Linked DNA regions of Tamandua tetradactyla. The protein of the gene in region 1 interacts with the protein of each later gene in a biochemical or structural test. Links are inferred from orthologs where the notes say so. Each region holds a gene or a part of one and is shown in the gene's direction. Other genes may lie near its edges.

Region 1 (7,849 bases):
CTTCCGGAACTAATGACCTACCCCTTCCAGACGTCACCTGACCTCCATCCTTAAAAGCTGCCTGTGCCAAAGCCCACATGCGCACTCACCTCCCTCCATCTTGCGTTTGGTGAGTTCCGCCTGGGAGCACAGAAATAAACCCCCCCCCCACCCATACACACACTTTAAATTTCCTGGTGTACCTTTCTTCTTTCTCACCTTTTTGCCTCCTAAACCTTTCATCTGGTGCCTGAAACCCGGGAGAGGAGCGCAGGTGCCGCCTGCCTGGCCAGAGGTGCCCGGGCTTCCTCTCTCCTCCTTCCTCCACAAAGCCAGAGACAAGGGATCCTTCGGCCCACCACTGCATCCACCACAGATTGGGTAAGTCCCTCCCCTCCTAGCCCTGCTGCCGGGTCTCATGGTTCCGGTTCCGAGAGAGCCTGTCCGTTAATTACTCTCCGAAAATTGTGAATTCACGTCAGGTTCTCTTCCGAGGGCTGAGGTGAACGGGGACACCCGCAAGCCTCATACCCTCTTTCTGGGACTCGAAAAGCTGTGGGGACGCCCCGCTTCTCGTTTCCCTCCCAAATTCAGGTCCAGGACCTGAAAGGGCCTCAAACCAGGGTGAGACGTCCCCTGGGGAGACAAGCCCCTGCTCGTAAGAGTTCCTAGGACTCTCTCAGGGCGTTGGGACGCTGACACCCCCTGGGCTAGTCCTTTCTCTTTTGAGACCCGTCAGTATGGGCAATAAATCCTCAAAAACCAAACCTCATACTCTTCTGGGTTGTCTCCTGACTAACCTATCCATACTGGATTTACTTCCAGACAATCGGCCAAAATGCCTCACTTACTTTTGTAAAAAGGCTTGGCCCCAATATCAATTGGATAATGATTCTCATTGGCCTGAGGATGGGACTTTCGATTTTAATATCCTTACGAACCTCCGCAACTTTTGCCAGAGGAATGACAAATGGGCCGAAATTCCTTATGTCCAGGCTTTTTTCCTTCTGCGCTCCCGCCCCTCCCTTTGTACCTCCTGCTCTATAGCTCATGTTCTCCTAGCCAAGGAAACTCCCAAATCCCCACTTCTCTCAGAAGAAACTTCCTCCTTTTCTGACCCCCTCGATTCATCTTCCTTTAAAAGACCAGGGCCACCACTGCATCTTGCGAAACTAACCTCCTCTCCCTCGCTCTACCCTCCCCTCCCTCCAGCAGCGCTCCAGTCGCCATCTTGCCTTTCCCTCCCCCCTTCTGCTTCAGTGACATCTCAGTTGCCATCTTCTCCTTCTCTTCCTCCTTCTGTTCCAGTGACGTCCCAGCCGCTATCTTTCCCTCCACTCTCCCCTTCCGCACCGGCGGCACTCCCGCTGCCATCTTGCCTTCGTCTTCCTCCTCCACTGGTGGCGCTCCAGCCACCATCTTACCCCCCTCTTCCTACCCCTGCTCCAGCAACATTCCAGCCACCATCCTATCCTTCCCTTCCTCCTTCTACTCCAAAGGCTCTCCCATTACCGGCATGACCCCCACCCCCTGCTTCGGCTCTTCTGCCACCAGCTAGTTCCTCGCTACCCTCACCTGTAAGCTCCCATACCCGCTCAAAAAGTACTTTACTCTGTCCCCTCCAGGAGGTTGCAGGACCTGAAGGATTAATTCAGGTACACACTCCCTTCTCTCTGGCCAATCTTTCACACATTGAAAAATGGTTGGGTTCCTTCTCCAACGATCCAACTACCTATACTAAACAGTTCCAGTATCTAGCTAATGCTTATGACCTCACTTGGCATGACATTCATATAATCTGCTCTTCTTCCCTCACTACAGATGAAATGGACTGCATTTTCAATGCAGCCAGGGCCCACGCTAACCAGGTGCATATAACCTACCACACCATGCCGGTAGGGGCCTAGGCCGTGCCAGACCAGGAGCCAGGGTGGGAATATCAGGATGACACTCCAGCGGGGAGGAACGGGCAGACTAGACGGGACAAAATGCTTACATGCCTCATAGCCAGCAAGCAGAAAGCTTCACATAAAGTAGTAAACTTCCATAAGCTAAGGGAAATTACCCAGGGTCCTGATGAAAACCCGGCCGCTTTTCTACACCAGCTCACAGAAGCCCTCTCCCAATATACCCGCCTAGACCCCGACTTGGAGGCTGGTAAAACTGTTTTAGTCACACACTTTATATCCCAATCGGCTCAAGATATAAGGCGTAAACTTAGAAAAATTGAGGAAGGCCCTCAGGCCCCTATCCGTGACCTGGTAAACACGGCCTTTAAAATTTTTAATACTCGTGATGAATTGGAGAGGGCAGAAAAGGAATCCCGGGACCGCCCAAAGGCGAATTTACAAACCCAATCCCTGACTGCGGCTCTGCGGCCCACTTCAACGGAGAAGAAGCCAGCTACGACTAATCCACCACAAGGAAAGTGCTTCAAATGTGGCCTCGATGGACAGTGGTTCCGCCAGTGCCCCAATCCTCGACTGCCCAAGGGACCATGCCCTCTCCGTGGTAAAAAGGGACACTGGAAAAGTGACTGCTCCTCGGTGCCTGGCCGTGAAGGGGCTGTCCTTCCAACCCCTAACCCACAGCTAGCAGTCCTGGGCCTGGCCACCAATGACTGACAACACCCGGCCTCAGTGACCCCAATCACCCTCATTGAGCCCAGGGTAACAATCAACGTAGCAGGTAAGTCCACCTCCTTTTTAGTGGACACAAGGGCTACCTTCCCTCTTACTCAGGTCAACTCCTTCCTTCCCAGGTCACCGTTATGGGCATAGACGGCCGTCCTTTGTGCCCCTTAACTACTGGACTGCTAACGTATTTAATAGAAGGGTACCCCATTACACACTCTTTCTTAGTAATGCCTTCTTGCCCCAGCCCATTAATGAGGCGAGATCTTCTTGCCAAATTAAGAGCCTCACTACATTGGATAAAAAACCCTCAAAAAGAACTTCATAGCAAGTGCCGGACTAACACCACTATCCACAACACCACCCATGCCCCCAAAGGACAATATTTCTGGTGTAATGGAACTCTTACCACATGCCTTAACTCCACTGCCCCAGGACCATGCTTCCTGGTAACTATTGTTCCTCAATTAACCCTCTATGGGGAGTCCGAACTAACTTGGTTACTGCCCTCTCCTCGCTCAAAAAGGGCTGCCTTTCTTCCTATCCTAGTAGGCATCAGCCTAACCACTTCAGTTGCAGCCTCAGCCACAGCAGGAGGGGCTCTGGGACATGATATTTTAACCTCTCAAAACTTTGAAACTCGACTACAGGTAGCCCTGGAATTGACATCAGAATCCCTCTCCTCTCTACAACGCCAACTCACCTCATTAGCCCAGGTAACTCTTCAAAATCGACGGGCCTTAGACCTGCTGACAGCTGATAAAGGAGGAACGTGTATATTCCTCCAAGAGGAATGCTGCTATTACATCAACGAGTCAGGTCTGGTGAAACAAAATATTCAAACCCTAAACAAACTAAGAGACGATCTCTACCACAGAAAACAAGGAACCAACTCTGCCTTAAGCTGGATTTCTTCTCCTCTGGTGACATGACTCCTCCCACTACTAGGACCAGTTATCCTAATCTGTCTCTTTTTTCTCCTAGCTCCCTGCCTCCTCAACTTCCTTCAGGGGTGCATGAAGGAACTATCCCCAGTAGAAGTCAACCAAATGCTCCTGCATCATTATCATCACCTGCCTTCCTCACCAAATTCCTACAGCCAGCCTCCCCGCTCCCCTGGCCATGACGGTTCCAGCCTATAACCCCACGCCGCCCCATTACAGCAGTAAGTAGCCAGAAAGATCTCAGCACCCTATTATCACAAAAAGGTTGGAATGTTAGGTCAGGGGAACCGTGAAGGGCACTGCAATCGGAGCTGCAGAGGCTGTGTCACCCCTCTCAGCCTGACTTCTGGAACTAATGACCTTCCCCTTCCAGAAGTGACCTGACCTCAAACCTTAAAAGCTGCCTGTGCCAAAGCCCACACGCGCACTCACCTCCCTCCATCTTGGGTTTGGTGAGTTCTGCCTGGGAGCGCAGAAATACCCACCCACCCCCCCCCACTTTAAATTTCCTAGTGTACCTTTCTTTCTTCTCACCCTTTCGCCTCCTAAACCTTTCACTAGTGACCCTTCATCCGCACCCCGTCACGGACCGACCCTACACGCCTCAAACGCACTAGTCTGCGTCACGAGCCCCAGCCCCCCACCCCCATGCAAAACGAAAGTTGACAGTGGAGAGGGCAGGCACGGAAGAACCCTCAATCCATGTCCCAGAACCCTAAACATAACCCCAACCCCCTAATCACTGCCTGGGTCACCTAAATGCTGCCCCAACCCCCCAATCCGTGTCCCGGAACCCTAAACACGACACCAACCCTCTAACTGCTGCTCTGGACCTCTACACGCGACCCTGGACCCCTAAGTCGCAGCCCAAGCGTTGAGCAGACGCTTACGCCATCAGGGAGGGCACACTGCCTAAGAATCAAGAAATCACTGCAAATTTCACAGCAACTCGGCCACGTGCACTATTTTCCGGGCCCCCAGTACCCTCGCCGAGCTGGGGGCACAACCCAGGGGCCCACCGAGACCCCAGGGCCAGGGCACGGGTGGCAGGGATACACACAACCGGGACCAGCCTGAGGAAAGAGGGTGGGCGGGGGTCGGTGGCGCCGGAAGCGCAGAGACCTTCCCGAGAATTCCGGGCCGCGCAGGCGCAGAAGGCGACGCGAGAGCGCGCAGCGAGGCGGGGCGGGACGCCTAGGCCATTCTCGGCTCGGGGCGGGACGCGGCCAGGGCGCAGGCGCAGGCGCGCGGTCGCGGCGGCAGTTGGGGAGGGTTCTTCCGGAAGGTTCGGGAGGCTTCTGGAAAAGGCGCCGCGCGCTGGGCGGGCCCGCGTCTATATAAGGGAGGCGCGGGGGTGGCGCGCCAGTTGCTTCAGCGTCCAGGGGTTGCTGCGGTGTGGTAACTGCGTGTTCCTATCGCCAAGGTAAGGGGAACTTGGGGGTCTCTTCTGGCACGGGAGGGTGCTGGTGTCTGGGAATGAGCGGGGAGGCGCGGCCGGGGGCACCAGACTCAGCCCCCAGCACCTTTCCGCGGTTCTCGGCCTATGAGTGTGGGGGCGGCCCCCGTCTCCCTTCCGGAGGCTTCGGGCCTGCCGCGGCCTCCCCAGAAACGGGTTCCGGACGCCCCTTGGTCTCCCGGGATATTCTGCCGAGGCGGTGGGGGATGGGTTCTATGCGCGGGCAGAAACGCCTTAGCGCCGAGGACTCTCCGGGCAGACGGCTCCCGGTTTCGGTCCCAGCTCGCGGACGCGGGTGGCGGCGGGGGGGTGGGGGGGGGCGTTATGGCGGCGTGGCGGGGAAAGGGGGCGCCCCCGTTGGCGGGGCGCGATAGAGGCGCACTGAACCCGCGACGTCTCCTGGCGGGGTGTGCGCGCCCCTGCGATTATCGCCGCGCTAAATGAGGTCATCCCTTTGTCAGCCCGCTGGCTATTTTCGGTTTCCTTAAATTTTTCTCTTCCCTGGGGCGGGTTTCTAAAAATACCGGACGGGTGCTCCGGACCCCGAGGCGCGGCTACGCGCCACGCCGCGGCCTGAGCGCGCGCTGCCTTCCGCAGATGCCCGAAGAGACCCAGACCCAAGACCAGCCCATGGAGGAGGAGGAGGTGGAGACGTTCGCCTTCCAGGCCGAGATCGCCCAGTTGATGTCTTTGATCATCAACACTTTCTATTCTAACAAAGAGATCTTTCTGAGGGAGCTTATCTCAAACTCGTCGGACGTAAGTCTGTGTTCCAGGGTCGGGTGTGGGTGAGGACCCGGCCGTGGGCTTGACGGGTGTATTCTTGCGTATAGGCTCTGGACAAAATCCGATATGAGAGCTTGACCGACCCCAGCAAGCTGGATTCCGGGAAGGAGCTGCACATCAATCTTATCCCCAACAAGCAAGACCGGACGCTCACCATCGTGGATACCGGCATCGGGATGACTAAGGCTGACCTGATCAACAATTTGGGCACCATCGCCAAGTCGGGCACCAAGGCGTTCATGGAGGCGCTGCAGGCTGGTGCCGATATCTCCATGATTGGCCAATTCGGCGTGGGTTTCTATTCTGCCTACCTAGTGGCGGAGAAGGTGACGGTTATCACCAAGCACAATGACGATGAACAGTATGCCTGGGAGTCATCGGCGGGAGGCTCCTTCACTGTTAGGACCGACACAGGTGAGCATCTAAGGGTGGGGTGGGGGGGGGTGGTGCTGAAAGTCTTGAGAAAGTGAGAGCCAATAGAGATGTAAGCAGGTGCAGGAGCCGAGCGTGCTGCTGCTCAGCCTTATGAGAGGGGGTAAACCCTGCCTATTAGGGACTGGTTCAGAAAGTGCTGGCAAGGACCTCTTAGGTGACCTTGAGCCAAATGGGTATTTTTTTTAACCTTAACTATATCTGAAAGTTGTATTCTTTTCCTTTAAGGTGAACCCATGGGTCGTGGAACAAAGGTTATTCTGCATCTGAAAGAAGACCAAACTGAGTATTTGGAGGAAAGAAGAATAAAGGAGATAGTGAAAAAACATTCTCAGTTTATTGGCTATCCAATTACTCTTTTTGTAAGTTTGTACATAAACTGCAAACTGCGTAGTGGACGCCTGTATGTAATTAGCTGAACTTGAAGTCTTTAGGCTTAACTAAGGAAGACCCAAATTTAAAGGGTTTATTAATGCTGGTCTGAAGCCTGTTTGGAGCTGGGTTCCTCTGACCTTAATTCTGTATACAGAAGTAAGGCTGAAATAATTTGTTGCTGTAAAGTTTCCTTACAGGTTTCTCTGCGTGGTTGACTTAGATTATGATATAAGTACTCTTAGCCTGTTTTAGTCTTAGGAAGCAGAGTATTTCACGTAATTTTTTTAACCAGGTGGAGAAAGAACGTGATAAAGAAGTAAGTGATGATGAGGCTGAAGAAAAGGAAGAAAAAGAGGAAGAAAAAGAAGAAAAGGAGTCTGATGATAAGCCAGAAATAGAGGATGTTGGTTCTGATGATGAAGAAGAAGAAAAGAAGGATGGTGACAAAAAAAAGAAAAAGAAGATCAAGGAAAAATATATTGATCAAGAAGAACTTAACAAAACAAAACCCATCTGGACCAGAAATCCTGACGATATTACTAATGAAGAATATGGAGAATTCTATAAGAGCTTGACCAACGACTGGGAAGACCACTTGGCAGTGAAGGTGAGCATTGAGTGCTTCCAGAACTATCATGCCTCAGCCAGGTAATTGGTCTCAAATGGTTAAATCAGAGGGTAGGTGGTGTGGGCTTTTTTCTTTTATGTCTTAGTGCTTTAAGTTGTGTGACTGCAAGTACTTATCTGTCAGTTAAAGTGTTCAGTAAAAGCTGCTTTCACTGTCTCTTGGTGTTTAGTGTTTTGTTCTTTTTTCCCCCAGCATTTTTCAGTTGAAGGACAGTTAGAATTCAGAGCCCTTCTCTTTGTCCCAAGACGTGCTCCTTTTGACCTGTTTGAAAACAGGAAGAAAAAGAACAACATTAAGTTGTATGTTCGCAGGGTTTTCATTATGGATAACTGTGAGGAGCTGATCCCTGAATATCTGAGTAAGTGTGGCTGGGTTAGTTTATGTTTCTTTGGGTGTCTATACTAAACAATTTTTGTCTTTGGGTGGTATATCTTGAAGGCATTTGGTCTATGTTTTTTCAGATTTCATTAGAGGTGTGGTGGACTCTGAGGATCTTCCTCTAAATATTTCTCGTGAAATGTTGCAACAAAGTAAAATTTTGAAAGTTATCAGAAAGAATTTGGTCAAAAAGTGCTTAGAGCTCTTCACTGAACTGGCAGAAGATAAAGAGAACTAC
Region 2 (7,915 bases), on another chromosome or scaffold:
TTTTAATTCTAGTTCTCACCTTATAAAATTCACCAGTCCTGGACCATACAATCTCCAGTTCCTTCTGATTTCAGATCTAAATCCTTTCAGCTCTAAAACTCAGCCTCCAAATGCTTCTGATTCTAGAGTCTAGGCCACATTCTGTAAGTTCCTTTGGTCCCAAATCTCACAACTCTTATTGCCTGGTTCCAGCCTCTACCCTCACCCTCCTAACTCAATTCTGGGCTTCTCATCCCACTCAACACTCCCCAATTCCTGCCCTCAGTCCTATGTCTTCCCATTCCAGATCCCTATATCCAGGGCTCTTGGCACATAGACTTCAAGCCCAAATCTCTCTATTCTCAATCTCATTTCCCTGAAATTTCTCTGATCTAGAACCCCCTGGACTCCCCATCCCAGGCCTCCAGACATGCGCTTGCCTTTTCTTTATCCCAACGTCTGGGTATCTGGGGCTCCCTCACCCCCCCTTATGGGGTTCACATCCAGGAGACTTCTCTAGCTGCACAGGGCCACGCACAACCTGTCTGCATATTGCAGGGTAGGGAGAGAGGCCAGGAGTCTCAGCTCTCTGCCACCACCTATGTATCCCCTTTACCCCCAAGCCCCTTTCTATGAAGGTGCTACTCTTGGACTTACCCAGGAAAAGGCTCCCCTCTCTCAGCACAGTTCACCTCCTGTTTGGAAGGCGCTGCCCACTGCATTTTGTCAGGGGGTGGCCTACCCAGATTGGTGCTATGTGGAGGAGAAGGATCTGACCCCTCCTTCCCTCGGGTGATCTGGGTCATTCAGTGGAGGGAGCTGTGCCGGCCTGGGGGAGGGGAAGGGTCTGGAGCAGCCACAGCTGACTCTAAAGCCCACTAAATTCCATTTTACCATAAAGACCTTGCCTCGGTAGGCACAAGAGCTCTGTGTGTCGACTCATCTGTGGGATCGCTTCAAGGTGTGGGTGCAGTGGGTGACTCACTGGACACCTGTGTGTGAATATGTGTTCCTCTGTATCTGGTGTGTGCTTGGTGATGTCATCTGTGTGTACGTGTGTGTATGTGACATAATTCTTTGAGTGTGTGTGTGTGTGTGTTGTAACTCTTCCTACATGTGTGTGTTAATATTCTGGTGAAGTGATTCTGCCTTACATGTGTTTCTGGTTACATTTGTGTGCCAGCTGCTTTAACAAATACCACATGGGTTGGCTCAAACAACGAGAATTTATTGTCGCATGGTTTTGGAGGCTGGAAGGCTTGCTTCCTCCTGATGTCAGTAGTGTTTTGGCAGGCAGGCAATCCTTGGGTTCCTTGGCTTTCTCATCACATAGCGATGTCCACTGCTTTCTCTTCTGGGTTCCTCTAAGTTCCTGCTTCTTCCATGCGGCTTTTTTTTTTTTTATGATCATTCTGTTCTACAGATATAATCAGTAATTCACAATATCATCACATAGCTGCATTTTCATCATCATGATAATTTCTTAGAACATTTGCATCAATTCAGAAAAAAATAAAAAGACAACAGAAAAATAAAACGAAAACAGAAAAAAAGATTATACATACCATATCCCTTACCCCCCATTGATCACTAGCATTTCAAATAAATTTAACATTTGTTCCCCCTATTATTTATTTATTTATTATTTTTATAGTGAGTTTTTCAATGCTTAAAAGTTGGCAATATACTCAGTATTTTTTTTCTAAATTTATTTTAACATTTGTTCTGCCTATTATTTATTTTTATTCCATATGTTCTACTTATCTGTTGACAAGGTAGATAAAAGGAGCCTCAGACACAAGGTTTTCACAATCACACAGTCACAATGTGAAAGCTATAACATTATACAATCATTTTCAAGAAACATGGCTACTGGAACACAGCTCTACATTTTCAGGCAGTTCCCTCCAGCCTCTCCATTACATCTTGAATAACAAGGTGATATCTATTTAATGCGTAAGAATGACCTCCAGGATAACCTCTCAACTCTGTTTGGAATCTTTCGGCCATTGACACTTTGTCTCATTTCACTCTTCCCCTTTTTGGTCGAGAAGGTTTTCTCAATCCCTTGATGCTGAGTCTCAGCGCATTCTGGGGTTTCTGTCCCACATTGCCAGAAAGGTCCACACCCCTGGGAGTGATGTCCTATGTAGATGGGGAGGGTGGTGAGTTTGCTTGTTGTGTGGGCTGGAGAGAGAGGCCACATCTGAGCAACAAAAGAGGTTCTCTTGGAGGTGACTCTTAGCCTAATTTTAAGTAGGCTTGACCTATCCTTTGTGGGGTTAAATTTCACATGAACAAACCCCAAGACTGGGGGCTCAGCCTATAGCTTTGGTTGTCCACACTGCTTGTGAGAATATCAAGTATTCAACTTGGGGAAGTTGAATTTTCCCTCGTGCTCACCGTTCCCCGAAGGGGACTTTGCAGATACTTTTCCACTCACTGATCAAATCACTCTGGGATTCATCAGGGCATCACTCTGGACAAACCAACAAAATCTCATGTCCTACCCAAGGTTTCATGTACTTATGGTATTCAACCAAGCTGTCTATATAAGTTATATTAGGAAATGCACTAATCAAAATATAAATTTTGGGGTGGGCCACGATGGCTCAGTAGGCAGAGTTCTCGCCTGCCATGCCAGAGGACCCAGGTTTGTTTCCTGGTCCCTGCCCACGTAAAAAAAAAAAAAAAAAGATATATATATATAGTACCAAATAAACATTTTTTGCTTCAGTCTCACACATAAGTTGAAATTTTAAAATATTAATTACCATCTATTTTCAGGACCCTGCAGTAATGCCTCTAGTTATAGGATTAAGACCGTCCTAAACTAAAAATAACATCTTCAATGGTCCTATTTACAATGGATTCACACCCACAGGAATGGGGTTGAGATTAAGCTTTTTTTTTTTCTAGAGTATGTAATTCAAGCTACTACATTCAAATTTCTGTGTTCCTGAGTGGCAGAGTTGTGATGTTTTTGTAGCTGTATGTGTCTATATGATGTCGTGATTCTGTGTAGACATGTGTGGGACTGTATAACGCTGTAATCCTGTATACCAATGTGTATCTGTGTGACACGATTCTCTGTCCTTGTGTGTGGATAAAAAAGAGTGATTGTGTGTCCACAGAATCATGTGTGGATGGGTGTTTCTGTTTTGTCACGTCTCTACAAACTGCCCCCATAATTCCTCTCCTTTGTTTCATATCAGAAGCTTTTTAAAGGAAGAAAACCAGTTTTCAGCCTTTACACTTGCAGTCCCCTCTGCCTCAACGCCCTTCCCTCACTTGATTGTCTCCTACTTCTACTTCAGACCTTAATTCAGACACCCCCGCCTCCAGGAAGCCTTCCTTGCCTGCCTCAACTGAGCAATGTCCTCTGGTTTTCCACAGACCTCTGAGGACCACCCTCCTACAACACAGCACCAAGCACCCTGCCTCACTCTGAATATTTTTAACTGGGTGAATATGAAAAGTACTTACTCTGTATCAGGCCCTCTGCCAAATGCTTTATTCATGTGATCTCGTTGAACCCTCTCCTAACTCTATAAATAGGCCCCATTTTAGAGGATAAATTCCTCAGAGAGAGTGAACACTTGCCCAAGGTCACACAGCAGGAAAATGGATGAATTGGATTCAAATATAGGAACCCTCTCCTCTCCCCACAAAAAAAAATTTAAAAAAACAAAAACAAAACTCCACAAGCCAAGAGGCAGGTTCTAGCGTTCTGGAGCCTAGACAGTAGAATAGGAATAAAGAGCACCGGAATCAGGTGGAACAGATTCAAATCCTGACTGCTGCTTCCTAGCTGTGTGACCTTGGGCAAGTGCGATGACCTCTCTGAGAACCTCAGTAAAAACAGAGACGATACTAGTATCTACTCTCGAGGGTGTCTGTTGGCTGGGGTGGGGGTTGGGGTGGGGGCAGTGAGAGGGTTGGGGTCAGACTGACAGGCCGAAAAAGAAGGTTTGGGGTTGGAATATCTTGTGCTTCCTGCATGGGAGCCAGAGCTAAGCCTTAAAAGAGTCGATGCTAAGGATTTGGTATGAATAGAAGCCAGAGGCTTGGAAAGAATGGACCAGAAAGGTATGCATTGTGCCCAGTGGATTGGGATCTGGAGATATTGCCCGAATCTAGACTATTCAGGGTCTCCTAGGAGAGCAGAAAGAATTTGGGTTTTCTCCTAAGGCACTGGGGAGCCGTGGAAGGCTAGGGATGGTGTGTGTAACACGATGACGGTCATGTTGTAGCAAATACCCCTCCCTGCGTTATGGAGGGTAAACTGAAAGCTGAATGTAAGCAGCAGAGGCGGCGATCCAGGCAAGAGAAGAGGCAAAGAGAAGAGAATCATTCTGAAGATTCAGCAGGATTTGGGAAGCTGAATATATAGGGAGGAGAAAGGAAACGGTTGGCCAAACCTCTGAACCTTGCCGGGCATGAGGCTCCAGGCGTCCTCAGTTCACAATTTTAAAAGACGGACCCTCAGGGTTAGAGCTTTCTTTCTTTGAGTAACCGCCCACTTTTCAGAAGGGTAACCGAGGCCGGAGAAAGGTGAGGAGTGTTTGCTCAGGGTCACGCAGGTAACTGGCGGTAAGGCCGGACTGCAGCTCCACGTTGGCATTTACAACCCACCCACCAACGCGAGGGGATGGAGGGAAAATTCCACTTTTAGACCCGAGGAACTTTTAGGGCTTCGGAGCACGGTAACTTCAGGAATAGGGGCCAAGGTGGGCCTTTTCCCCGCCCGCCCCTTTTCATCTTCCCTATTGGCTCATTCTAGGAAGGGCGCTGTCTGGGAACCCTTTGCTCGCCTAATCCTCGGCTCGCTCATAGGCGACAGGGTTCTGCGCAGGCGCGCGAAGGGCGCCTTCGGGGCCCGCGCTTTACGACACTTGTGCGGCGGCGGCGGCGGCAACTCGGCTCTCCTTCGCGACGGTTCAGCCGGGTGCCGCTAGCGGCCGTTGCCAAGGTGGGGGTCGCTTTGCGGCATGGCGATGGCGGAGGGTGAGCGGACTGAGTGTGCTGATCCCCCCCGGGACGAGCCCCCGGCTGATGGTGCTCTGAAGCGGGCAGAGGACCTCAAGACGCAAGCCAACGACTACTTCAAAGGTGCGCCCGCTCCGGAGGGGGCAAGTTAGGGTGGAGAGCGGCCCAGGCGGAGGGCTACCCGGCCCGCGCGGAACCATGGCAACGCGGAGCGGAGCCGCGGCGCGGGCAGGCGCTACCAAGTGGACAGGAGTAGGGAGGCCCAGTATGGGTGCTACCAAGGGGCGACGTAGGGGGCTTTTGAGGGAGAGGGTAATGCCAAGATGTGGTGTACAAAGCGGGTGATACTTAGTGGGGGGACTAAGGCGGGCGCTGCCAAGTGTGGGGCGGGAGAGCGAATAAGGGCGCTACCAGATGGTGAGCCTTTGAAAAGTGCTACCTGATGGTGATACCTGAAGAGGGCGCTACCAAGCGCTGACATGTGCCGGGTGAGTGATGGCGCTACCGAGTGGAAAAAGGAGGTTGGCTGCCACCAAGGCGGGACAGGGTGATTGGTCCCAATAAAGGAAGGAAGTGGGGGGCGGGGAATAGGTAGTAAGTGGGCAGAGAAATAGATTTGGTGACTCAAGGAAAGGGGAGTTGGGTCCCCTGAGAGTAGGGACCCCAACGATAGTATGATTTATGATCTTAGGAAAGAGATATATTGAGCACCTGCCGTGTGCCAAGGACTATGCTGGACTCTGGGGAAAGAACTGCAGTTGAGACCGATGTAACCCTGTCCTTGTGCAGCTTATGATTTAACAGGAGAATCAGACATTGAGTAAACATGCAAATAAGTAAAATAGTTGTGAATTGTGATAAGTGCTTTGAAAGAAAACCAACAAGGTGCTGAAGTAGAGAATAAGGGTGGTTACTCAGGGTGGTCAGGGAAGGTCTTACTGAGAAGGCAGCATTTGAGTTGAAACTTGGAGAGGAGAAATGGAAAGAATTGTTCCAGGTGGCTGGAGCAGCATGTGCAAAGGTCCTGAGGTGAGAAATGACAGACTAGTGTAGCAAGGGGCTTTAGCAAGTTTAGGGGGGAGGCTGATGTGAGATGAGGTTAAGCTAGGGTCTAGATCATGCAGATTCTTGTAAATCATTGCAAAGACTAGCTTGAATTTTACTTAGCTATCAAAAAGGAGACATTGAGAATGTAGATTGGCCAATCTGGAGGGTTGGGCTGAGGAGGAATTTGAGCACAATCTATGTGATTGAGAATGAATGAGGTCGCTTAAAAAGGAGGGTCTGAGAAGATAAGGGGCCTAGAACCAAACCCAGGGAACTCTGATACTGAGAGTGAGAGGGAGGCTGAGAAGGAGTGGCCAGTGAAGCGGAAGGAAAACCAGGAAAGAAATGTCAGGGAGGCTAAGAGTTGAGAAGAGAATGCTTCCAGAAGGAGGGGCTGGTGCCCTAGGTTGGATGCTGCCAAGGTTTTGACCTTCAGTTTTGACCATGAGTTTTGGCTCCGTGGACATTGGTGGTGACCTTGACAAGGGCAATTTCTGGGGAATGGTAGGGTGGCATCTAGCTAGGAGGGCACTGAAGAGTAATGGGAGCTGAGGAAGTGGAGACAAGAAATGTTGGCAAGTGTTCAAGTATTTTGGTTCTGAGGGCGAGTGGAGAAATCGAGCAGGAGAAAAAGGTGGAATTAAGGGAGTCTGCTTTTTTTAAGGATGGAAGAGACTATGATCCATTTCAGAGGGGAGACTTCCAGCAGTCAAGCAACTGAAAGGTAGTAAGGGGAGATCTAGAACTCTAGTGGAGGACTTGGCCTCTCATGAGCACAGAAACAAATTCTAGGTCTGTGGAGGTTTTGTCAGGCTGGAACAATGAAAGGGAGGTGGGACTGGTGGAACTGGTGGGTCTGGGGTTGTGGATATCATCCTGAAGGCATGGGGAGCACTGGAACGTTTTTCAGCAGAGGAGCAACATGGTTTGAAAAGAGCATTTGAAAAAGGCCCCCTACTGCTTTGCAGAGAATGAATACATGGGTAAGACAAAATCAGGAGGCCAGGAGGGCATATGAGCGAGGTGGTACACAGATCAGGGGGGCAAAGGGGAAGACCTGGAAACTGATTCAAGTGTTTCAGAGGAAAGGAGAGTGGCCCTCCAGGCAGAAGGAACCGGGTGGTAAAGGCCCAAAGGTGAGCAGAGCCTGGCACTGGGAGGTGAGGGGGCTGGAGTGTAGGAGGGGTAGTAGTTCTTGGTGAGGTTGCTGAGTCTTAAAGAGGAGCCTGAGCTTTCTGCTGGGGGTCCTGGGGAGCCATGGCAGGTGTCTGGGCAGAGGAAGGACAGGGTCAGCCTTGTGCTTTAGAAAGATCTCTCTAGCTGCCATGTGGAGGGAGCAGGTCTGGAAATTGGGAGGGCAAAAAGGAGGCTGGGGCAGGAACCTGAGCAGGAGAGGAGAGAGTCCAGACTAGGGCAGGGCAGAGGTGTTGGAAGTGAGTGAGTGGGTTTGAGAGACGTTCAGGAGGCTGATTCGACCAGACATGGTGACAACCAGTCTTTGGGTATGAGGGGTTGGGACGAGGCCCCGTCTCCAGCTTGGCGATGCAGTGGAAAGTGGGTTCATCCCTGAAACGGGACATGGGAGGAGTAGTGGGTATGGAGTTGATGCTGAGGTTACCTAGGAATTGTGGGAAACAGCAGGGGCACCTTGCCCCCCCCTTCCCCCCCCCCCCCCCCCCCAGGATCTGGGATCCAGCTGTCAGGAGCCCTGGGACTGGGCAGGCCAGAGGTACCTGGCATTGAGCTGGCATGGAGGAGAACCGCCTCCTGCCTGGCAGGCAAGGGCATGCACCAGTCCCTGCTTCCCGGACTGTGGGAATAACAATAACAATAAAAAAGAATAATTACAGCTTACTTTAATTGAGCCCCTGCAGCGCCAGGTACATCGCTTTGTTTAATC
Region 3 (7,424 bases), on another chromosome or scaffold:
TAGCCGACTGCAGATGTAACAGCAACAGATGAGATTCACGTACCATTGGCTCATGTCCACAGCAACAGAAATAGGTGCCTTCACCTGGCCAAGTTGACAACTTAACCTAACTATCACAGTGGCATCTTCTCTTTCTCTTCTGGGTTCCATTGGCTTCCAGCTTCTGGCTGCTGTGGTTTCTCTCTGTGTGACCTTCCCTATTAGGCTACTGGTAGCTAATCCTGATTCAGTTGGACCACACTTTAATTGAAGTAATCTCATCAAAAAGTCCTATTTATAATGGGTTCTGTCATGGTCAGTTTCATGTGTCAACTTGGCCAGGTGTTGGTACCTGTTTGTCTGGTTGGGCAAGTGCTGGCCTGTCTGTTGCAATGAGGACATTTCATAGAATTAAATCATGATCACGTCAGCTGCATCCACAACTGATTCCATTTGTAATCAGCCAAGGGGAGTGTCTTCTGCAATGAGTGGTGTTTCATCTAATCATTGGAACCGTTTAAGGAAGATGCAGAAGAGACAGGCTCTCTTCCTGCTTTGGTTGGCGAGCCTCTCCTGTGGAGTTCGGCAGACCCTCCATCGGAATTGTCAGCTTCACAGCCTGTCTTGCGGATTATAAACTCTATGTTCCCACAGTTACATGAGACACTTTTATGAATTTTATATTTACAAATATTTCCTGTGGATTCTGTTTCTCTAGAGAACCCTAATACAGGTTCAGACCCACAGGAATAGATTAAGATGAAGAACATGTTTTTCTGGAGAACACAACTCCAAGCCACCACAGCCTTAAATAAGCATATGAAAAAGATGCTCAACACCATGAGCTATTAGGGAAATGCAAATCAAAATCACAATGAGAGACCATTGCATACCGACTAGACAGGCTATTATTAAAATAAAAAATTTTTTTGGTTTATTTGGTTTTATTTATAGTAAATAAACAAATTAAAAACAGACTTTGTCTGTGTTATTGGACAAAGGCCATGGAGTCTTCTGCCCGTCGTGCTCAGAAACCGATTTTTTTTTTATTAATTTTTTTAAAAATTCCAAAAACACCAAACAAATGCAAACATTCTTAACTTATGATCATTCCAGTCTACATATATAATCAGTAATTCACAATATCATCACATAGTTGCATATTCATCATCATGATCATTTCTTGGAACATTTGCATCTATTCAGAAAAAGAAATAAAAAGAAAAAAATTCATATATAACATACCTCCCACCCCTTCCCCTTACCGATCACCAGTATTTCACTCTAAAATTATATTAAAATAATTTTTAAAAAGGCAGAAAATAGCAAGTATTTATGAGGATGCAGAGAAATCAGAACCTTCCTGCATTGTTGATAGGAATGTAAAATGGTGCAGCCACTGTAGAAAAGTTTGACAATTCCTCAGAAAGTTAAGTATGGAATTATGACCTGGCAATCCCACTTCTAGGCATATACTCCCAAAGAACTGAAGACAGGGAATGAGATATCCATACACCAATATTCGTTGTTATTCACAAAAGCCAAAAGGTGGAAGCAATCGGAGTCCAGCAGTGGATGAATGCATAAATAAAATGTAGTATACACATACAATGGAATATTATTCAGCCATAAAAAGGAATGAAGTTCTGATACAACACAGATGAATCTTGAAGACATCATGTTGAGTGAAATAAGCCAGTCATAAGAAGACAAATGTATGATCTCACTTATATGAAATAACCAGGAATATGCAAATTCAGAGACAGAAAGTGGATTACAGGGTATCAGTAATGGGGCTGGGGAATGGGGAGTTAACACATAATGGGGTAATGGATCTTTTGCTGATGGATGGAAGTGATAGTAGCACAACTGGTGTGAATGTATTAACACCACTGAATTGCATACTTGAAAGTGGTTAAAATAGGAAATGTTACGTTGCATATGTGCTACCACAAAATAAAATAATTATCCTAGCAGAGGGATAATTCAAGGAAAGAGTGAAGGAACCAGCCTAATTCAAGGAACAGAACCATCAGTGCGCTTGGGGCTTGAGGTTGAACAAAGCAAAGAAGAGGTGGGAAAAATAGGAGACCTTCAAGTTTAGATAAACCTTGATGCCATCCTAAAGCCTCCAAGAGATGTACTGTCACGTTGGTTGAAGTATGGAGAACGGATAAGAGGCCGGCTGAGATGCAAGAAGCTGTAGAGTCAAGCTACTAGCATACGGGGGGCTTAAAACCCTGGGAAGGGATGGCATAACCCAAGGAGGGAAAAGAATGAAAATATGGCAGGGCTCCAGACCTTCACTCCAGCCCTCGGTCATGCCATGCTTCGTTCCATGACCCATATGCTGACGGGGGAAGCAAAAGCAGTCTCCCAGAAAGGTAGAAATATTCAACTTCCGCATTTAGAGAATTCCTGATATCCTTGCAAGCAATGGGGACAACCAAATCAATAGGCTGAGCCCTCGATCTTGGAGTTCACCCCTGTGAAACTTATTCCTACAAAGGACAGGCTAAGCCTACTTAAAATTAGGCCTAAGAGTCACCCTCAAAGATCCTCTTTTGTTGCTCAGATGTGGCCTCTCTCTAAGCCAACAGGACAAGCAAACTCACTGCCTCCCTCTCTCTACGTAGGACATGACTCCCAGGGGTGTAAACCGCTCTGGCAACATGGGACAGAAATCCTGGGATGAGCTAGAACTCGGCATCAAGGTATTGAGAAAACCTTCTTGACCAAAAGGGGGAAGAGAGAAACGAGACAAATCAATCGGCTGCTGAGAGATTTCAGAGTGGAGAGTTTATCCTGGAGATTATTCTTATGCATTACATAAATATCCCTTTTTAGTTTATGGTGTATTAGAGTGACTGGAGGGAAGTGCCTGAAACTGTAGAGCTGTGTTCCAGTAGCCTTGTTTCTTAAAGATGATTGTATAATGATAAAGTTTTTACAATGTGACTGTGTGATTGTGAAAACCTTCTGTCTGATGCTCCTTTTATCTAGGGGATGGACAGATGAGTAAAAAATATGGACAAAAAATAAGTAATGGGGGAACAATTGTTAAAATATATTGAGTACATTGAAATACTAGTGGCCAATGAGAGGGAGTGGTAAGGGGTAGGTATGGTAGGTTTGAGTTTTTTCCTTTTTCTTTCTTTTGCTGGAGAGAAGCAAATGTTCAAAAAATTGATCATGGTGATGAATACACAACCATATGATGATATTGTGAGCCACTGATTACACTCCACGTATAGAACGTTTCTATGTTAAAGTCTGACGATAACAAATATTTTTTTTAATAAAATAAAAGCAGCTTTCCAACCATCAAATAAGGGTCCTGCAGGCCCATCTCTTCCACACTCTAAGCCCTTTAGCCTCTCTCCGGGTGCCCACCCTCCCTCTCCCTTTCGAGACTGGGATTTAAGGCCGTACAGGCCCTCACTGGCCAGGAGGCAGTCACGGAACTCATTCTTGTGTTTGGGTCCTTCACACCTTTACATCGGACTGGAGACAGCACCGTTTCGTTAAGTACTTCCCGCGTGCACGGATCCTCCCAGGGCCCTAGATGACCGAACCCTTTACCCGAGAAGTTCAGAGAGGGTGTGCGGCTCCAGCAAGGACACCCAGCAGGCCTACGGGAACCGCCAGGGTGAGAGGTTCGGGTGTGTCCGGACCCAAGCCCCGGGGCGCTTCACCGCCACGCCGGACTTTCGGGGCACTCAGAACCTAACAATCTGGGATCCCCGGAAGGGCCAGTGCCCGGGGCCGAAGAGCTGGACAAGCGGGCACATGGCAGCCAGGGAGAAAGAATCGCCGGCGCCTCTCCCGCGGCGGACCCGGATCGTCAGCCCCATTAGCCTAGACCCCAAGCCCGACGCACAGACAGAAAGGCCCTCGACCGTGGGTTCTCGGTGGGAACCCACTGTAGAGAGAAGCGGGCCGGGCCGGGAGGCTCCGATGGCCCGCGAAGCCCACAGTCATCGCCTGCCCAGCGACAGAAGGCGACAGCGGTCTCCGACTCCGAAAAGCCACCAGACAGCCGAAACCAGAACTACCCTGTGATGGACAGCAACTTAAACCTATCAACGCAAGGTGCTGGCAATCCTCCGCCCAATTAAAATGTTTTTTACTTTGAAGGCGGGTGCGTCCCGGGCTCCAGAAAGAACGGAACCAATGGGAGCTCCTGGCGTGGTCGCGATTGGCGAACCATACGACCAATCGCTGTCGCGGAAACGTGCCCCTCCTTCGATCGCTAAGCCTTAAAATGGGAGGGGCTTTCGAGGAGAGGCCAATCCCGAGACGCGGAGGAGGCAGGCTGAGGAGATTACGCTCCAACTGCCCAATGAGTGGAAACGAAGATGATGGGCGGAACTTCAAGCCAATAGTGGAGGAGCGCAGGGAGCTCCCCGCCCCTCGGAGGAGTTGGACCAGTGAGCAGCCAAGGAAGGGGCGGGAGCCGGGGGTCCCGGCAGCTTCTAGTAGGTTCCAGAAGGCGGCGCGTGCGGTTGGGAACGCGGAGCGGACGGATTCGATTCAACCGGGTTCCGGGCCGGGCTATGGAGCAGGTGAAGGGGGAGGGGCGAGTTGAGGCCTGGGGGTCGCTCGGGGTTTAGCCGAGCCACGGGAGGAGGGACGCGGCGGGCGGTCCTGGCCGGGCCAAGCAGTGGCGTTGAGGAGCGGGCGGCGGCGGCGGGGAAGAGAGGGCGTGAGGGCTGCGGGCGCCGGGCCGGACGGGGGGGATGGTGCGAGGCCCTGTCCACTCCTGGCCGTGGGCAGGGCCGGGTCCCCTCCGCTCTCATCGCCCCCCGACTCGGCGGCGGGAAAAGGGGTCGTAGCCAGGCCCGGGAGGCCTGCGGGAGGTGGCTGTAGGCTAAGCGGGGGGGAGGGGAGGGGAGGTGGCCGCGGCGGCGGGACTGGGGGTGGAGGCGGGCGAGGGACCTCGGGAGGCGGGAAGGAGCGGCGCCAATCTCGGGGGATGCGCGATCCGGGAGCCCCGAGGCTGCCGACGGGGACGCCACCCAGCCCTTGGCCATGATGAACTTGGGGGACCGAGGGAGCGGAGACGGAGATCAGTTGAAAGTAGTTGGGGAGCTTCTCAAACTGGGACCCAGTTGGAGAAAAATGGAGCCTCTCAGAAGACCCTGGTGGGGGGAGTGTTGAGCGAAGGCCTGGGTAGCAGCGAACCGACTTTGCCTGATGCAGGAAAGGGGAGGGTGCAGCAAAAGTCCTTGGAACGAGTTTCAGATTTACTGTTGTTGCACGAATGTGCATGTGGCCCCTCCTCCCCCCCACGTTGTTTTGTGATTCTCGAGTGATTGATTGAGGACTGACACTTGAAACGTCGGTTTCTGGTTAGACAAGGAGGAATTCGTTGCGCTAGGAAATTTAGACCCTATCGATGAGCCAGAAGTCAAAGATTTGCTTTTGCCCAGCATTTTTGGGGGGGGTGGAATTCCAAGCTGTGGCTGCTTTCCGTAAAGGTGGTTATGTCCTCAGTGGTCTGTAGGTCGTGAGAGGTTGTGAGGTTTGTTTTAGTTGGAAGCTGTCATTGAAGGATAATGATTGGTGAAGAAAAAGAAAGCTGAACTCCCTTTTCCTTCGTTTTTTTTTTTTTTGTCTTTGATCAACAAAGGTGAACACTAATATGCCCCAGTTTATCTTTAGCCATACCTGGAGCCACTTTGTCAAACTAAAAATAAAAGTGTGAAGATGGGGAAGTCCGTAAACTTTTTGCTTCCTTGGGATAACTAGATTGTGTCAGGAATTAATCGACTTTGGTATAGGCAAGAAAAAATAGAAAAGGTCGCTTCCTGTCCTTACCAAGTTCGAAATGGATTGTTTGACTAAACTGAGGGCTGCAAACTTAAATGGTAAACGTCCTTACCAGTAATGAACCTGATATTTTAACTCTAGGTGTGTTAGAACCTGCAGTCTTGAAGCTATTCCTGAAAACCTTGTGACCTCTCTGCCTTTGTTTCCAATTTCAGTTCTGTGAAATACATACTTCCATTTGGGAAACAATCAGATTGACCTAGTTTGTGTTGAAAGTTGTATTTTCTTTATAGGCACTTTTCAGATCCCAGAGTGATACACTTTTTTTACATTTGACCTAATGCTGATCTATAACTGTTTACCATGACACTGTTAATACTTATTGTTACATGTACTGCGTGCTGGTATTTTTTACTGGACCTTTTAAAATGCTGGTCATGACCTACAAAATTGATTTCCTGGCCCACTGCAGGTGGCTACTCAGTTTGTAAAATGCTGTTTCATAGGATAAGCTAGAACTTAAGGTGTTCTTCAGCTGTCTCTTTTTTTTTTTTTTTTTTCACATGGGCAGGCACCCGGAACTTCAGCTGTCTCTTAATATCAGTTGAGTTTTTGTAACTTCTTGCCTTCTAACCTTCATCCTGGGTCCTAAAAGTTTCATCTCTTGCTTGCTAAATGTGGCAGTCTCCCACCCTCTCTCCTTCTCCCTTGACTCTCTAGAATCTCTCTAGGTGATGGAGTCTCAATTGGTATGCGTCAGAGGTTCCAAAATATAACAGAATTCTTTTTGGCAGCACCTTACTCCAGTCACAGTGGTTGAAGCAAAGAAAGTACAGCAATTGAGTAGTTTGAATGACAGCTTGATCTCACCAAATGTGTTTGCATTTTTAAGAGAGCTTTTGGGGTGTGGCATCTTATTCCAGTGTGTTTGAGAGGATAGGGGACCATTTTCCTTTACTAGTCTACTTAAAACAAATACCAGGTGGGCTAGCTTTTAACGATGGGAATGTATTAGCTTACAAACTTACAGTTTTGAGGCCGTGAAAATATCCAAATCAAGACATCATCAAGGGGATGCTTTCTGCGAGACCCTGGAGTCGTCTGTTACATAGCAAGGTACCTGGCAGCACCTGCTGGTCTCTTCCTCCTCTGCTCCTCTGGGTTTCCTTAATTTCAGTTTCTTGCTTCTATGGCTTTCTTTTTCCCTCCTCTCCCTCCTCTTTCTCTTTCTCTCTGTCTCTTATTTATTCCATTTATGAAGGACTCCAGTAAGCAGATTAAGACCTGTCCTGAATGAGGTGGGTTTCACCTTAAAGTAGCTTCATGAAAATATCCTACATAAATTGGGTCCCCACCCATAGGAATGGATTAACTTTAAGAACATACTTTCAGGGGTGCATACAGTTTCAAACCACCACAGGAACTAAACCACTGAAGTGTTTCTTTATCTTCCCCACACCTTTATAATAATTTTTTTTAAATGGGGCAAGAACCAAGTCATTTGGCGGGGTGGGGGGGGGTAGCTAGCTTTCCTTTATCCATTAAGAAACAGCATTAATTTACCATATGGTGACATATGACCACACCAGTAAATAGAAGAAAGTTCTTTTCTGGTATGAGGAAACAATTGCGTGCCACAGGGTGGGCATCTTTTTGCTCCAGAGGAAGGGAAA
Region 4 (6,831 bases), on another chromosome or scaffold:
TCTAAACTCTGGGCAGAGAATCCAGAAGCTATCTGCGATGATTTTATTTAGCTAGGTCATTGTCACATCAGGTTCATTTGTTAACTTGGTCAGGTGGTGGTACCCGATTGTCTGGTCAGGCAAGTGCTGACCTGTCTGTTGCTATGAGGACATTTCATGGACTTAAATCATGATCATGTTGGCTGCATCCACAGCTGATTACATTAGCTAAGGGAGCGTCTTCTGTGATGAGTGACATTTAATTTAATCACCAGAAGGCTTTTAAGGATTCAGAAGAGACACTCTACCTGCTTCAGCCAGGGACCTTCTGCCATGCACTTCGTCCACACCCTTCATCAAGTTGCCAGCTTCACAGCCTGCCCTGCAGACTATGAACTCTTCCATTACCACAGTTGTCCAGCCAACGTCTCCTGAAAGTTCGTTGACGACTGTCATCGTAGTTGCCAGCTTGCAGCTTACCCTACAGACCTTGGATCTTTACATTCCCAAGGTTGCCCAGGCAGCCTCTCCTGAGAGTTCGCTGAGGACCTTCATCAGAGTTGCCAGCTTATAGCCCTACAGACCTTGGATTCTACATTCCCAAGGCTATGTGAAACACTTTTATCAATTTCATATCTACAGATATCTCCTACTGATTCTGTTTCTCTACAGAACCCTAGCTAATACAGTCATGATGTCTCCTTTAAGCTTCATGGCCAATTTCCTTTTTCCTATATCCAAAAGAGATTCTTACCACTTTACCCCTTTCCCCTTTATATGACATATATAGATAACTTCCAAGGTCTTATTAGAAAATTCATACAACTAGACTGTGTTCATTATCTGATTTAATTTTTAAAATGTTTAATTGCTCATGTCAACATACAAAATTCTCTTTTGCTACTAGTGACTCTGGGCACATATTTAAATTCAGTTCTTAGAAAAATATCACAGAGAACTTGCTATGATAATTGACAAAATGTCTCTGCAATCCTTTGGCATATGTATTTTTTTAACTGACCTGACAATTTCTTCTCTTAGGAGACTGTTAGGATTAAATTTATGAGGTGGCATCTACTACTCACCACGTATTTTCTAGTTTCTGTTAATCCAGGTTGCAGATTTATTAAACACCCTGACACTGTAACTATACATGTTTGAATCTACATTTTGCCCCATACTAGAAATAGAACTATTAGTGAATTTGAAAATGAACCTGGTATAACTCAGGTCCCCACCTACTAATGGTTGGGATAACATCTAAGGGCTTGAATAAGCCTAATTACAAAGTATTTGTGAAACTTCTGGTAGAAAAGCTATTTCCAGAAGAACACTAAAATAAAACCCCTTGAAATATGTTTAGTGAGGAATAACTAAGGAAGTAAATAAACTAATGGGGGAGGGGAATAGCTGTAAATGAACCATGAATTAGGATACAAAAAAAAAAAAGGTAGTTTTCCCCGTAGCACTCTCTACCCTGTCTTTTGACAAGGGAAATTGCCAGAAATTTGGGTTGGAGTCTTCTATCTCTAATTCAGTTCTTTCATTTTCAGTTCATCTTATACTTTGTTACCAATTAATCTTTACAAATCTAGGACACAAGAGTGCTGCTCCCCGACTCAAAGAAACTTTAATAGCTTCCAAATGTGAGAGAGACAAGTTGCAATTATCCCGATATTCAGCATCACCATTATTTGGTTCTGACTATCTTCTTAACCATATCCTGAACTATTCCCTTACATTCTCAACTACCTAGGTCAGGGTTCTGCAAATTACAACCTGTACACGAAATCTAACACATTCACCAGATTTTTTATGTGCAGAATCTTAGTCTGTGAGCTAACAATGGTGTTTACATTTTTAATTGGTTGAAAAAAATTAAAATATCTTCTGATGTGAAAATTATAAGAAATTCAAATTTCAGTACCTTTAAATACTTTTATTGGAACATAACCATCCTTGTTTGTTTACATATTGTCTGTTTGTCTCATGCTGTAATAGCAGAGTTCAGAAGGTGCAACAAAAACAGCCAGCATGATTTCATCTGGCCATTTACAGAAAAAGTTTGCTGACCACTGACTTAGAAATACTTCTGTTTCTGTCTCTTCACCAATATTCCTGCCTGAATATACTAATCCGACTTATTCCTGCTGTCACCTCTATGAGGCTGTCAAAATAGAATTTTCAAAAAACTAAAAAACACGATTCTCTCACAAACATATAATTAACATAAACCAAATATCTCACTCACGAATGGAACCAGTAAAATGGCAAATAACATTTGGTTATTCACAGGCATAAAAATGAAAGAATTAGAATAAGATTGCTGGGTCAAACAAACCCGCTTAGTGTCCTTCAGAGCAATAAAACTGTAACTTTGGGATTAGTCTTCCAATAAAAAATCTACAAGTTAGTATGTAACTTCACGATGTCTGAGTTCTAATTATATAATAAATAGCAAAGACAAACATAGGTTCGTTCTCCTGTCTCCTGATAGACAGGTTAAACAATGTCCCAGTGTAAACTGAAAGGCTATCCCTCGGTGCAATGCCTTATTTCCAGGTTCTGGGTAATTTTTCTGAACAAAACCTACCCTCATTCTTCCAGCCCAAATAGACCTCTCCTCCTTTCAAGCTCCCATACTTTTTGTATTTCCATTATGGTATTCAATAATCATTATTTTGTCTTTCGAACAGGCAGCAGGCCCCTGAATCAGAGTAACAGCTGGGATTTAATCGCCCTTTAAAATGAAACTAGATAGGGTTCTATGTCCACAGTTCATGATATCTATCTTGCACAAATATAGACATCAAATATCTTATTGCTGAATATGAAACCCCCAAACACTCCCTCTGGACATCTTACAGCACTTTTCTTAAAACTCCTTTGGGTGCTCAGTAGCGGTGTATCGCTTTTGTTTCCCCCTCATTCTACCGTTTAAGTGTCCTCCTAGTGGGCAGGGCCCATTCTGATCTCTTGGTTAGCCCCCATTAGAGCACAACCCAGTGCCTGGCACAAAGCAGTTGCCCAAGAGATAACGGTTGAAGCAGACTGAAAGCCTCCCACCCCAAATTCACACACACACTGATGTGTCTGAAGTCTCTCCATTCTCTGACACCTGGCTAAACTCTCCCCTCAAACAACCTGTCTGGCCTATTAGTATCTCAAGAATAACCAATCCCCCCTTTCACGTCACAAGCCTCCAGAAAAATCTTCGTCCCTCGGCCTCAGCTTTCCTTCCACTATCCAACACAGCCGTTTCTCAGGGGAAGACGCCCAAGGAACAACGCCGAGTGCCTATAAACCCAACGGTTTTCTACCGGAGCGCGGAACAAGAGGCGGGAAGAAGCCGGCGCAGGCCGGAAAAGGGCGAAGGGCGGCGCCAGCCTCGGGAAAGATCGCGAAGGAGCTGGGAAGCTCCGCCCTTTCCGTAGATATCTCTAGAAAGCCGCGCGGGAGCCCGAAAACAAGGACTGCGCACGCGCGGCGGCAGGGCCCGGGCATTTTGCTGCGTCACCAGCCGCCGCCTGGCCTCACCACCCCTCGTTCTCACGCACGCACGTTCGTTCTCCGTCCTCGCGCCCCTTTTCTTACGCTTTCCTCTTCTCTCCGAGCCGCGGAGCCGCTCTCTCTGCGCGGTGCATTCTGGGGACCCAGGCCGAGCCCGCCGCCTGTGCCGTCGCCTGAGGGAAGCGTGAAGAGGCCACGACCGGGGAGAAAGCGCCGGAGTCGCGGCCGGAGAGGAGTCGACTCCCAGCAACTGCCGCCGGAGAGGCCCGCCCCCTGACCCGTTCACAATGTGAGTGCGCTATCCCATCGTGGGGAAGTCGGCCTTAGGGAGACCGAGGCCGCTCTGGGGACTCCTGGGCTGTGGGGAAACCTTGCCCTCCCCACCCCTCCCCCCGCCTTCGGCGCTCTCCGTTTTCTCTTTTCACTGGTGGCGGTTGTTACTATCTGGTGGTGGGAGGTCTGTGGTCTTGTTCGGTTACCGTTGGTGGACGGAGGACATTTTTCCTCCACATACCCGCTTCCCTCACCTCTAAACTGTCCCTCGTTTTCCCCATGCCGGAAATCCCGCTTTTCCCCCTTTGGTGGTCTGAGTTATGCGTAACCGTTCATAACTCGTCCTAACTTAGCTTTAGGCCTTAGGCCTTAATCTCCTTTGAGCCTTTTGCCATGCGGGCGCCTTGGAGGCATTTGACCCTCGTGGATTGCCACTTCGGTTCTCCGTCAGTCTGGTTCTGCCACTCTGTGTTGGGACCAGGCCCTGGGCCAAGTGCACCTGTGGTGGGTGCCACCAGAAGACTGATGGTGCAAGATCCTAGAGCCTTACGCGGCCCAAGGCCGTGAGCGACAGTTACTGCTAGGCAACGAGAGGGAGGCCATGCCGTCACCACAACTTTTTTTTTTTACCCTCTGAAGTGCCTTGATTTCTTGAGTATAGGTCCTTTCAGGCCTCTAAACTCAAGTATCTTGAAGGAAATGAAGGCTGCTAAAGCTCAGTCGTGTCCTGGCACCGAGGAGTTACCACTGAACAGGTAGTTTTGCACGTGTCGAACCTAGAGATACTTGTGGACATTGTGTTCCATATTAAACTGTAGGTGAGGTATCATTCATCTTAATTTAGAATAAAATAGGTACATAACTGTCTTGTGGTCTTAAGGTGTTCAAATTCTGTTTATGAGGAGGATTCTGTTGCCATCTTTTTCTTTTATGGTAAAGGAAAACTTTGGTGATCTTAACGTAATAAAAGCTCTTGACCTTTCCACCTTAAATCTATGTAAAATAGGTTTTGCTTATCCCTTTGAAATTTCTAAATAATTGTCAATATGGACTGTAGAGTACTAGTAGTGCTAAAGTTAATGTGGACTTTTTTTTTCTATCTTAATTGGATTCAGGGGGATATATTAACTGCTCAAAATGTTTATGTAATTGACAGCTGTAGGCTTTATATTCTTGTTGAAATCGTCCCATTACTCCCTTTTAAGTTTCCCCATTTGATAGTTGTTAGGTAAAGAGATTTTTTCATTTAATACTTTGAAAGTCTCTACTCTGAAAGTAGAAGAAAAAATGAATTGTCAGATAAAGCAGTACCAACTTTTAATGTGTATTAGAGCAATGTAGAGTATTAATATAGGGGAAGTACCATGTTTGAAATAGAAACACTTTTCGGAGGTCACTTTTTGGAGGTTAAAATAGGTAAGAAATGTTAAACTATGTAAAGGGTAAAATTGGGATGCCAAGTGTAGCAATCAGTATTCCAAAAAGCAGTCTGACTATATTTAAAGAATGCTGCCTTTAAAGTGAATTTTCTGTGAAGAAACCAGATAAATCTCATCCTCTTTTAAAATGTTAGACATGTGCTGTCTTGTAAATTCTTCAGGGGATCTTAAGAAAATCTGAGTCATTTATTTGAGTTGGAGAAGACTTTTAATGGATCATTTAGTCCTAGGAAAAATTGGCTGATAAGGGTTCCTCTTGGTGATGTCTATTTAAAACATTGTTTTAATGCTGCTTTTCTGTTGATTTGTTTTTTGTGCTGGATGTCTTGAAGGTTTGGGGTTGTGTTTTTTTCAAGTTTGGAAACTCTGTTAGTGATTTCTTAGTTAAATTTGTCTAGTAGCCTACATAGAAGTTTCCATCTCTCTCCTACCTTGGAGAAGGCTGGGATCTTAAGACCTCCTTACCCATTTAAAACCTCCCCAAAGCTAAACTTGCGCTGTGGTACTTTGCATTCTCTTTTAAATTAGCTATTATAGTTGGTTGCTATTGGATCCTAACAAGAGAAGAAAGTAAAATATTTTATTTAGTTTTATTTGAGGTATTTGAAGGGTCATTCTTTCTGTGCCTTGTTGAAATCATCCCATTAATTTATTATTTAAATTAATAAATTTTTGGAAACATAAAATGACCATCTTGAACATTGATTTAAAATCTTACTTTGCTGTTCCTTAGCTTTGTAGGTTTGAATCTCCAAAGATATCAAACCTCCAAAGCAAATTGTCATAGTGAGCATATGGTTTACCACTAATTTCTATTTAAAATGAGTAATTGGTAAGTTAGGGAAGATGATAGCCTTTGTTCAGTGTTGATTTTCTAACCACTGTAACCTGGCAGCTGAATTTCCTTTTTTTTTATTATGCTCAGTTAGCCTTTAACTAGAAGGCATTAGAAATCACTTGAGTTTAGGCTAGTATTATATTCGAAATTTAGAGTTTCCTATTAAATTATTCTCGGTTTAAAAATTCTGAGGCTATATCATTTTGGGGTCTTATGTGGTTAATGATTGTGCCCTTCAGGGATGGGAGGTGCTTTTTTTATTGAGATATATTTACAAACCATCTGAAGTATACAATTACTGGCTCACAGTATCATCACATAGTTGTGCATACTAGAACATTCTCATTACTTCAGAAAAAAAATAAAAAGAAAACCCAAACCGTCCCATATTCCTTATTCACCCCTATTGATCCTTAGTTTTTGATATAGTATATTTGTTATTGTTGGTGAAAGAATATTAAACCATTACTATTAACTGTAGTCATAGTTTTCAGTAGGTACGTATTTTCCCATAAATCTCCTCTGTTAGCTCTTTATAATAATGTCATACATTTGTTCTAGTCCATGAAAGAATGGTTTTGTATTTGTACAGTTAATCACTGGCGTTGTCCACCACAGGATTCAGTGTGTTAAACATTCCCATGTTTTAACCTCCAGCTTTCCTTCTGGTGACATTTGGGAGATGCTTTTTTAATACCAGTTAGAATCAACTTAGCTCTTAAAAAACTTCAGATCATATTTTATCTGAGTTCTTAAATTGAGAATTGTTGCATCTGGTGTATTTTGCTGTTG

What was found.
Region 2: the proteins of HSP90AA1 (region 1) and PPP5C form a complex in vitro, tested with the Homo sapiens proteins (4 studies listed by BioGRID, with this or other methods). The link is inferred for Tamandua tetradactyla from reciprocal best matches to the Homo sapiens genes HSP90AA1 and PPP5C.
Region 3: the proteins of HSP90AA1 (region 1) and STIP1 form a complex in vitro, tested with the Homo sapiens proteins (9 studies listed by BioGRID). The link is inferred for Tamandua tetradactyla from reciprocal best matches to the Homo sapiens genes HSP90AA1 and STIP1.
Region 4: the proteins of HSP90AA1 (region 1) and PTGES3 form a complex in vitro, tested with the Homo sapiens proteins (10 studies listed by BioGRID). The link is inferred for Tamandua tetradactyla from reciprocal best matches to the Homo sapiens genes HSP90AA1 and PTGES3.

Annotation. Positions count from the first base shown.
Region 1 is NC_135338.1:63,505,281-63,513,129, reverse strand, and holds the start of HSP90AA1 (heat shock protein HSP 90-alpha), read left to right. Parts: upstream 1-4,836; 5' UTR 4,837-4,979; intron 4,980-5,609; coding exon 5,610-5,771; intron 5,772-5,845; coding exon 5,846-6,212; intron 6,213-6,458; coding exon 6,459-6,592; intron 6,593-6,897; coding exon 6,898-7,212; intron 7,213-7,425; coding exon 7,426-7,591; intron 7,592-7,694; coding exon 7,695-7,849. UniProt on the Homo sapiens protein: Molecular chaperone that promotes the maturation, structural maintenance and proper regulation of specific target proteins involved for instance in cell cycle control and signal transduction.
Region 2 is NC_135342.1:14,870,036-14,877,950, reverse strand, and holds the start of PPP5C (serine/threonine-protein phosphatase 5), read left to right. Parts: upstream 1-4,909; 5' UTR 4,910-4,970; coding exon 4,971-5,091; intron 5,092-7,915. UniProt on the Homo sapiens protein: Serine/threonine-protein phosphatase that dephosphorylates a myriad of proteins involved in different signaling pathways including the kinases CSNK1E, ASK1/MAP3K5, PRKDC and RAF1, the nuclear receptors NR3C1, PPARG, ESR1 and ESR2, SMAD proteins and TAU/MAPT.
Region 3 is NC_135335.1:10,451,081-10,458,504, reverse strand, and holds the start of STIP1 (stress-induced-phosphoprotein 1), read left to right. Parts: upstream 1-4,421; 5' UTR 4,422-4,535; coding exon of another isoform or gene 4,536-4,544; intron 4,545-6,766; 5' UTR 6,767-6,825; coding exon 6,826-6,867; intron 6,868-7,424. UniProt on the Homo sapiens protein: Acts as a co-chaperone for HSP90AA1. Mediates the association of the molecular chaperones HSPA8/HSC70 and HSP90.
Region 4 is NC_135333.1:123,760,016-123,766,846, reverse strand, and holds the start of PTGES3 (prostaglandin E synthase 3), read left to right. Parts: upstream 1-3,824; 5' UTR 3,825-4,461; coding exon 4,462-4,517; intron 4,518-6,831. UniProt on the Homo sapiens protein: Cytosolic prostaglandin synthase that catalyzes the oxidoreduction of prostaglandin endoperoxide H2 (PGH2) to prostaglandin E2 (PGE2).